Linked DNA regions of Mus musculus. The protein of the gene in region 1 purifies or fractionates together with the protein of each later gene. This does not show direct contact. Links are inferred from orthologs where the notes say so. Each region holds a gene or a part of one and is shown on either strand. Other genes may lie near its edges.

Region 1 (3,745 bases):
GCTTTTCCTCCCAGTGAAATGGGGTGGTTTGGGTCCACGGTCATCCAGTACCTCCTCGAAGCTTCTAAACCAAGAGTCCCGCTGAGACAGTGGGCAAAGAAGGTAACTCAGTGGCTAAGTGGGTCAGCTAGCAAGAGAAGATAGACAAGACAGCGGGACTGTGCTGTCTCCATCTCTTCCAATGGCCACCCCAGCCCCAGTCTCTGCCGTCTACTTGCCTAGTCGATCCACGGCCAGCTCAGTCTCCGTCTCCCGACCAGAGAGGTCAGCTGTGGCAAAGCCAGCCTGTGGAAGAAGAAATAATTACCAGGAACTTGGGTAGTAGGACATGTCACTGCTTTGAAGCTCCAAACCCGCCCACCCATAATGCCCTGCACGATGTAGAGTTTGCACACCCTTCTGAGGACCTGGCAAGGCCTCAGAACAGGGCCTGTAGGCTACAGGCATCACCCAGGAACACTTCTCCGTTCTGACCGCTGGGAGTGCCCTTTTGCGGTGCCCAATGGACAGCTGTCACAGCTGTCAGTTTTGCTCTCAGCCCCAGGCCCTCTTCAGAAGTCTGGGCAGCAGGACTTCTCCAAGCTCAGAGACCCTAGAGCCAGATGGGACAGCTCCCTGGTCTCGGCTTGTAACCTCAAGTCTGTGTGTAAACTCTTTCCTCTAAGTCCAAAAACACTTTAACTGCTCTAACTTCTCTTTTTTCCTGGCCAGGATTGATAGTTGTCTCCTGAACCTGCAACTTCTCTGCACACCTTTGCCCTTCTCAGGTCTTTATGTCTAACAACTCCTTCCAACACAGCCATTCCACAGCGGTCCACGGGAGAAGCAGCCTGAGTTCTACACACTGGAAAGAATACCTAACCCCGCCCCCCCCCCAATGCCAACCAGGTAATTTTGCGGCCTGTTGCCTCAAAGTTCCCCAAACTTTACTCCCCCCAAGGTCTCTCTGCAGTGGAAACAGTAATGTCCAGGGCTTGGATGATCAGGCTGATGTCAGTTGTTGCCCCACCATGCACGTAGGCTGTGACCTTTAGATACTGGAATGGCTGTTCTGATCTGGCAGGGGTCGTATGATGGAGGATATTTATAAAACATCTAACATATGTTGGAGACGTAGCTCAGTTGGTCAAGTGTCTGCCTAGTGTACACAAAGCTACACACTGATTTTTCCAACACTACATAAAACCAGGCATGGTGGGCCACTCTGTAATCTGAGCATTTAGGAGATAGGTGCAGGAGGATCAGAAGTCCTGGCCACAGAGTGAGCCCAGCTCCTGGGCTACATGAGACCCTGTCTCAAAAATATTACAATAAAGCCAACAATAATAACAAAACCACCTGTTAGACTGCAAGAAGTAACACTTCTTTGACTTAAATTGCAATATTTATTTTATTTGTGTATATTTGTGTGTGTGTGAATATACCAGGAGGATCCCCTGGAGAGGGAGTTGCAGAGGGCTGAGACATCTGTTGTGGGTGCTAAGAGCCAAGCCAAACTCTGTAAGACCACCATGGCTGTCTTTCCAGCCTTCATCCTGCATGTAAATAAACTGTACTTAGCACTCACCCTAATTACCGTTCATTATCTAGTCACCCCTGAGCTTTAATGACTCTATCTCCTGTAGTCCGTGATAACCACAGACCACTGCTGCCCCCTATGGTGCTGGACCTCTTACTTGAACCTCACGCCTATCTCCCTACTCCTGCTCACCCTTCCACTTAAAAGCTTCGCGAGCCCTCCACTGCCATCACAGACCAGCAATGCCATTCATATTGACTCTCACGTTCCTTTCTGTAAGAAGCCTGCTCTCCGACCCAAGCTCCAAGGCCATTTGCCTTGCCCTTTCTCATATCCAGACCTTTGCTGGGCCTACCCTCTCACCCAAGAACATCCTTTCCAGATCCGCCCTAACAACATCACTCTCCTATTTTGCAAAAGTGATTTTCTTTGCAAATCTATTGGTACTTGAATAGCAGCTTCAAGTACCATCACTGAGGCTCTGGTAAGCGTTCTATTCATTCATCCAATTAGGATACACCAGGCATAGGTGCGGCTTCTGGGAAACAGGATGTCTACAGTCAAGAAGCTCGCAGTAGGTGGATGCAATACGGGCAGGTCATGGGGAAAGGCTGTATGGCGCGCACTTAAAAACAAGTTTCTGAAAACCCGTGTCACAAGGGGACCATTCGTTTCATCAAATGGGAAAAAGCACGGGTGACATCTGGCGTCCAAGGTCAGCTACACATCCCCACCAATGGCCAGAGGTCCTCAAGGTGAGAAAAAAAAAATCCGTTTCCTCGCAGCTCCCACCTGACCCAGCCCCCTGCGGCTGGAGCGGGCTCAGGGCAGCCGGCTCCGGGAAGCCAGCTCCGCGTTCCCTGCATTCACTCCCGCAGATGCTCCCCAGCAGCCCCAGTGTCCCTCTCCCTTCAGCGCCAGCCACAGCCTAGGGCTCGGGTCCGCGCGCGTTCCCGCGCCCACTGCCGTTACCGGCCAGGCTCTCTGCGTGCACTCGCGCGGCCCCGGCGTTTCCCGGGTGAGCGGCCTCCCGGCAGCGCGTGAACCCCGCGGTTTCCCGCCTGGGTGGTCGCGGATGCCCGCGTCCCCCACCCCGTCGCGCTCACCTCCGCGCTGGGGGCCTCCTGCGAACTCCGCTCGCCCGGGCCCCGACCGGTGGCTGCCTGAGGGTCCATGCCCGGCCGCCCACAGCCAGGCGCCTGGGACGCTCCGGCACGTGACGGCCGACGGGCTGCGGACAAGCCAATCGGCGTGGGGCGGCGCGGCGACCGAGGGGGCGGGGCGGCGCAGGGGCAGCGCCGGACGGCACGCCCACCTGCGTTGTTGTGCGGGACCGCAGGCTCTACAGCTCTTTCTGACCTCTAGTGCTGGTTTCGAGCCTTAGGCCTGATTGGGCACTGAGCCATCCCAGCCACACGGGGCTTTCCTACTGCATTGTGAAATGACACATAGAGCCCACCCGGGTGTCACACAGTCACAGCCGATGGGCTCCATCACTTTTCTCTCTACCCAATCACAGGGTTTTCCAGATTGCAGGCTGCACCCGCACTACAGCATCCCTTAATGAGGGACTTCAGCAACCTGAAATGATCTGAAATGATAACCCAGCAGCCTGGAGACATGCTGCTTTGATTTAATGATCGTCTTTAAAGTCAATCTGCAAGGAACCAGGATAAAGGAGCAAAACAACGTGCCACCACAAAAACAAGGTGGTGTTAGGAACTTAGAGTCAAAAGCCAGTGCTCCAAGTCAGTAATGTGACTTTGTTGAATAATTCTCCGTTTTCCGTTTCTCTTAGGAGTGTCAGAGGCTACAGCTAAAAAGTTTTGCCCACATGACTACTGGAACAGGAGCTGGACAAAGATGATACCAGTAGACATGCTAATTGGCTCACAAAGCCTCAACCCTACACACAGAACTATAGGCAACTAAGGATTGCTGAGAGTGGGAGAGATAGCCTTCCCCAAGGAAGAGTACCGTTGGTTATCCAGTACCCAGTGGTTGGTTATCCAGTATTCAGTGGTTGGTTATTCAGTACCCAATGGTCTGCCCTGGAAGCCCTACACATGCAAGTAACATTGTATAGACTGAGCAGATTGTATTTAGGTACATTCACATACACACACACACACACACACACACACACACACACACACATGCACACATACACATTCACACATTCACACATACACATTCACAGATACACACATTTGTCACACATATACA
Region 2 (3,745 bases), on another chromosome or scaffold:
TCACCCACCTCCTGGCCTGGAGACTTGGGAGTTCTCACTTTTCGATGATCTAAACTAGTGTTTTCTGTCTCCTCTAGATAGATCCTTTGCAGGTGAGGTCATGTGCAGTTATTCTCCCAGCCTGTCTCATCCGAGTTTCCCTTACACCTGAAGGTTCACGTTACACAGCTCCTGTTGCTCTCTTGAAGTCTTGTGATGCCCTTCTACTTAACACCCTTGCGCAGACTTAAAAGGTCTGAGTTCTGCACGCAGTCTCTGCACCTTTCCTTTGATGACACCCCCCCCTTTTAAAAAACAAACTGTTCAAACTGGATTTAGCCTCCTCAATGTTGCACTTGAAAGAAAAGCGTATTTTTGCCTGTAACCTCTTGTGATGGCTTTCAGAGGCTTACCAATTGTGGTACCTACCGTGGCACCGCCCAAACAATAACTCTTATTGTTAATTTCTAGGGTAGGTCAGTCAGATTCGGAGAAACTCGGGACATCATCCGTATTCTGCTATGTTGCAGGAATTCTCTTAAACGTCACCCATTTACCTCTGTAAGGGCACACGGGATGACCCGGGCGTGTCTCCACCTTGGGAGAGGCCCGTTGGTCGGTCGGGCGCAGCGCTCTGGGGCTGCGTCCTTCGCGCCCCTGGCAGTCTCAGCCTTCCCTCGCGAGGCGCCGCACACCGAGCGCCTCTCGTGCAAGGGCGAGGGGTTCGTAGAGTGCGAGTCCGTTAGGCAAAGTGGGGTACAGGACTAGCTCGGGCACTGGCAGCCCATGTGGGTCGGGACTGACCCCCTAAAGCGGGCAGGTAAGGGGACTGGTCCCAGGCGCCCCACGGAGATCGGGGATTTGGGCGCAGGGGGCGGGGCGGTACCCAGAGGAGGTTTGGCACAACCCGGCCCTCCAGCTCCTACGCGTTCTGAGGAGAAAGGGCATGGCTTCCTTTTCTTCGTGGTGTCTTTCAAAACCGACAGGAGCGCGGATGAAAAGCTGCGGATTAAGGGTAGAACTACCGCCCCTGCAAACCTGAACGAACTCTGGATTACTACCCAGTCCCTGCGGGGAGCTGATTAGCGCCATTCCCCTCCCCCACTCCGGCGGGTAGGTCTAGAGAACGGTTTGAAGGTAGCCGCATGCGCATTAAGTAAAACAAGAAACCGCTGAGACGCCAAGCGCAATAATTGCAAAAAGGCGCAGGCGCAGAAAGAAAAAAAAAAAACAACCAAAAACACCTCGGTCAGTTTATGAAGAGGGCTGAGCCCAAACGCATGCGTGTAATAATAGGACGGCGGGAGAGAGCTCGGGGTTTCTTAATACGCATGCGTCCAATCTCTCTGTGACGCAAGTGGGGCGGGGCCGGCAACAGGGTGCGCGTGCGCAGAGCTTGCTGGAAGGGCTTTATTTAGCCTGCGCAGGCGCCCGCTTATCATTTCTCCTCAGCCACGCCGAGGCTTTTTGTGGAGGTGAGTGACTTTCCGTCTTCGACTGCTGCCCGAGCTCTCCACGGACACCTCTTTGGGTGACGATTGCTTGTCGCTGAGCTTAGGTTCTAACCTGAGGGGCCGTGGCAGGCGCAGGCTGCCCCTGGGAGCCGCGAGTGTCTCGCCGGCGTGGCAGCGCCGCCTAGGCCTGCAGGCCGCGCCGCTTTCTATTGTGTGAGATGTCTGAGGAGGCGGAGCGGAAGCGGCGGCCGCCATTTCCTCGTCTCAACCGTGGCTGTGGGCCAGGGTCTTATTAGCTTGGCGCCTCGGCCCTGGGCGCACTGGGCGGCTTTGGGCATCGGGTCGCTAGCCGAGGCCGGGTTGCATGCTTGAGTCTCCGGGGCCCAGGCATCCTGACGGGCGGGACTCGCATGGCGGCGCCCGGTGCCCGCTGTGCGCCGTGAAGTGGGAGGGCCATTTAAATGCCTGTTTTCTCAGACGCGTTCCTGACCCCCACCCCCACCCCGCAGCCCCGCAATCTGTGTGGACGCCAGGACCACCGAAGGGACGATGATGCTGGGAGCAGAAGGCGGAGAGGGCTTCGTGGTGAAGGTCCGGGGCTTGCCCTGGTCCTGCTCCGCGGATGAAGTGCAGCGCTTTTTTTCTGGTGAGTTGAGGCGGGAGTTGTCAGTGGGGCCCGCGGCTGGGCCGGGCCGGGCCGGGTTGGGGCGGGGCGGGTCTCCCGGGCGCCCCCTAGCGAGTCGCGGCCACCAGCGGTTTCCCCAGGCGGCTCGCGCTCTGTTGGCCGCTGTTACGCAATGGTAATTGCGAAATCCGCACCCCCCCCAACCCCCTTGGGGATGCTGGTGGCCCTGCTGAATTTGTTTTCTTTTAAAACTTTTTCTGTCTCTATGCATCAATCTGTGCATTCTGGAGTAGTCTAAGAAAAATTTAAGTAGGGAAAGATGTGATTTCTTCTCAAGTCGTGTAAGGTTTTGTAAAAAGGTACTTGTAGTGTTGACCTTACCATCTGAATTTAGCTGTGGTAACAGAAAACGATCTGTAAATCGAGCCCCAAGTATACTGCAAGCAATTGCAGGGGGCCGTTGCCGTCCGGGTTTGAGTTGAACTGCAGCTTGGAGCCTTTAGTTGTTAACATTGGTCCCTTTTCGGATGAATATTGAGCTGGAGTTTGGATTTGAATGAAATTGTTATGTGGTTGCTGATAGAGGGAAGCTGACATGGTACCCAAACAAGAAAATGCTGTGAAGTCACCAGATCCAGATGAGATTATTCTGAGATAGTGTACCAAGAGATGGTTAATGGAAACTTAGAGGCAAGGTGGTAGCTTCATTTGAACTTTTTTTTTTTTTTTTTTCGAGACAGGGTTTCTCTGTGTAGCTCTGGCTGTCCTGGAACTCTGTAGACCAGGCTGGCCTCGAAATCAGAAATCCGCCTGCCTCTGCCTCCCCAGTGCTGGGATTAAACGCGTGCGTCACCACTGCCCTGCTCCATTTGAACTATTTTTGAGCATTGAGTTACCTTGTTGGACTAGGAATATATCCTGTATATGAGATAATTTGATCGTGTTCTGCTTGGTCAGTCTTTTTAGGCATGTTTTTTTTTTTTTGGTGTGTGTGATGACAGGAATATGCATTTTATCTGTAGTGGTTTTAAATCCTGTATTAAGCGTTGTTTTCTTTTCAGACTGCAAAATTCAAAATGGGGCTCAAGGTATTCGTTTCATCTACACCAGAGAAGGCAGACCAAGTGGCGAGGCTTTTGTTGAACTTGAATCAGAAGATGAAGTCAAATTGGCCTTGAAAAAAGACAGAGAAACTATGGGACACAGATATGTTGAAGGTTTGATTTACATTGCCCTAGTAACAGTAAACGTTTAAACACATAGAGGTCTTACCCCTTCTGAATTTTAGGTATTTGACCGCATGGAAATGGTCATCTAAGGGAGTTTATGGCAGCTCTTCCTAGTTATCTAAAAGCCCAGGAAATCTGAACTTTGTTCTCCAACTTAATTGACTAATTCTAAGCACCTCTTTCAGTATTCAAGTCAAACAACGTTGAAATGGATTGGGTGTTGAAGCATACTGGTCCAAATAGTCCTGACACAGCCAATGATGGCTTTGTACGGCTTAGAGGACTCCCTTTTGGATGTAGCAAGGAAGAAATTGTTCAGTTCTTCTCAGGTATGTAGTCCTGTTTGTTGCTGAGCAGTGAGGTATGGCAGCTTCTGGCGACATGAATTAGTATTAGTAGACCTTTAAAAAGTTGAATAGTCTAGGTACTTAAAGTAGGCTGTTGAATATATGTTGTTG

The links. The genes of interacting proteins can lie anywhere in the genome.
Region 2: the proteins of Coprs (region 1) and Hnrnph1 purify together in Homo sapiens (co-immunoprecipitation; 3 studies listed by BioGRID and IntAct, with this or other methods). This does not show direct contact. The link is inferred for Mus musculus from reciprocal best matches to the Homo sapiens genes COPRS and HNRNPH1.

What each region holds. Positions count from the first base shown.
Region 1 is NC_000074.6:13,887,542-13,891,286, forward strand, and holds the start of Coprs (coordinator of PRMT5 and differentiation stimulator), read right to left. Parts: upstream 2,731-3,745; 5' UTR 2,695-2,730; coding exon 2,626-2,694; intron 286-2,625; coding exon 219-285; intron 1-218. UniProt on the Homo sapiens protein: Histone-binding protein required for histone H4 methyltransferase activity of PRMT5.
Region 2 is NC_000077.6:50,376,349-50,380,093, forward strand, and holds the start of Hnrnph1 (heterogeneous nuclear ribonucleoprotein H), read left to right. Parts: upstream 1-1,329; 5' UTR 1,330-1,454; exon of another isoform or gene 1,455-1,510; intron 1,511-1,887; exon of another isoform or gene 1,888-1,942; 5' UTR 1,943-1,982; coding exon 1,983-2,079; intron 2,080-3,119; coding exon 3,120-3,275; intron 3,276-3,472; coding exon 3,473-3,616; intron 3,617-3,745. UniProt on the Homo sapiens protein: This protein is a component of the heterogeneous nuclear ribonucleoprotein (hnRNP) complexes which provide the substrate for the processing events that pre-mRNAs undergo before becoming functional, translatable mRNAs in the cytoplasm.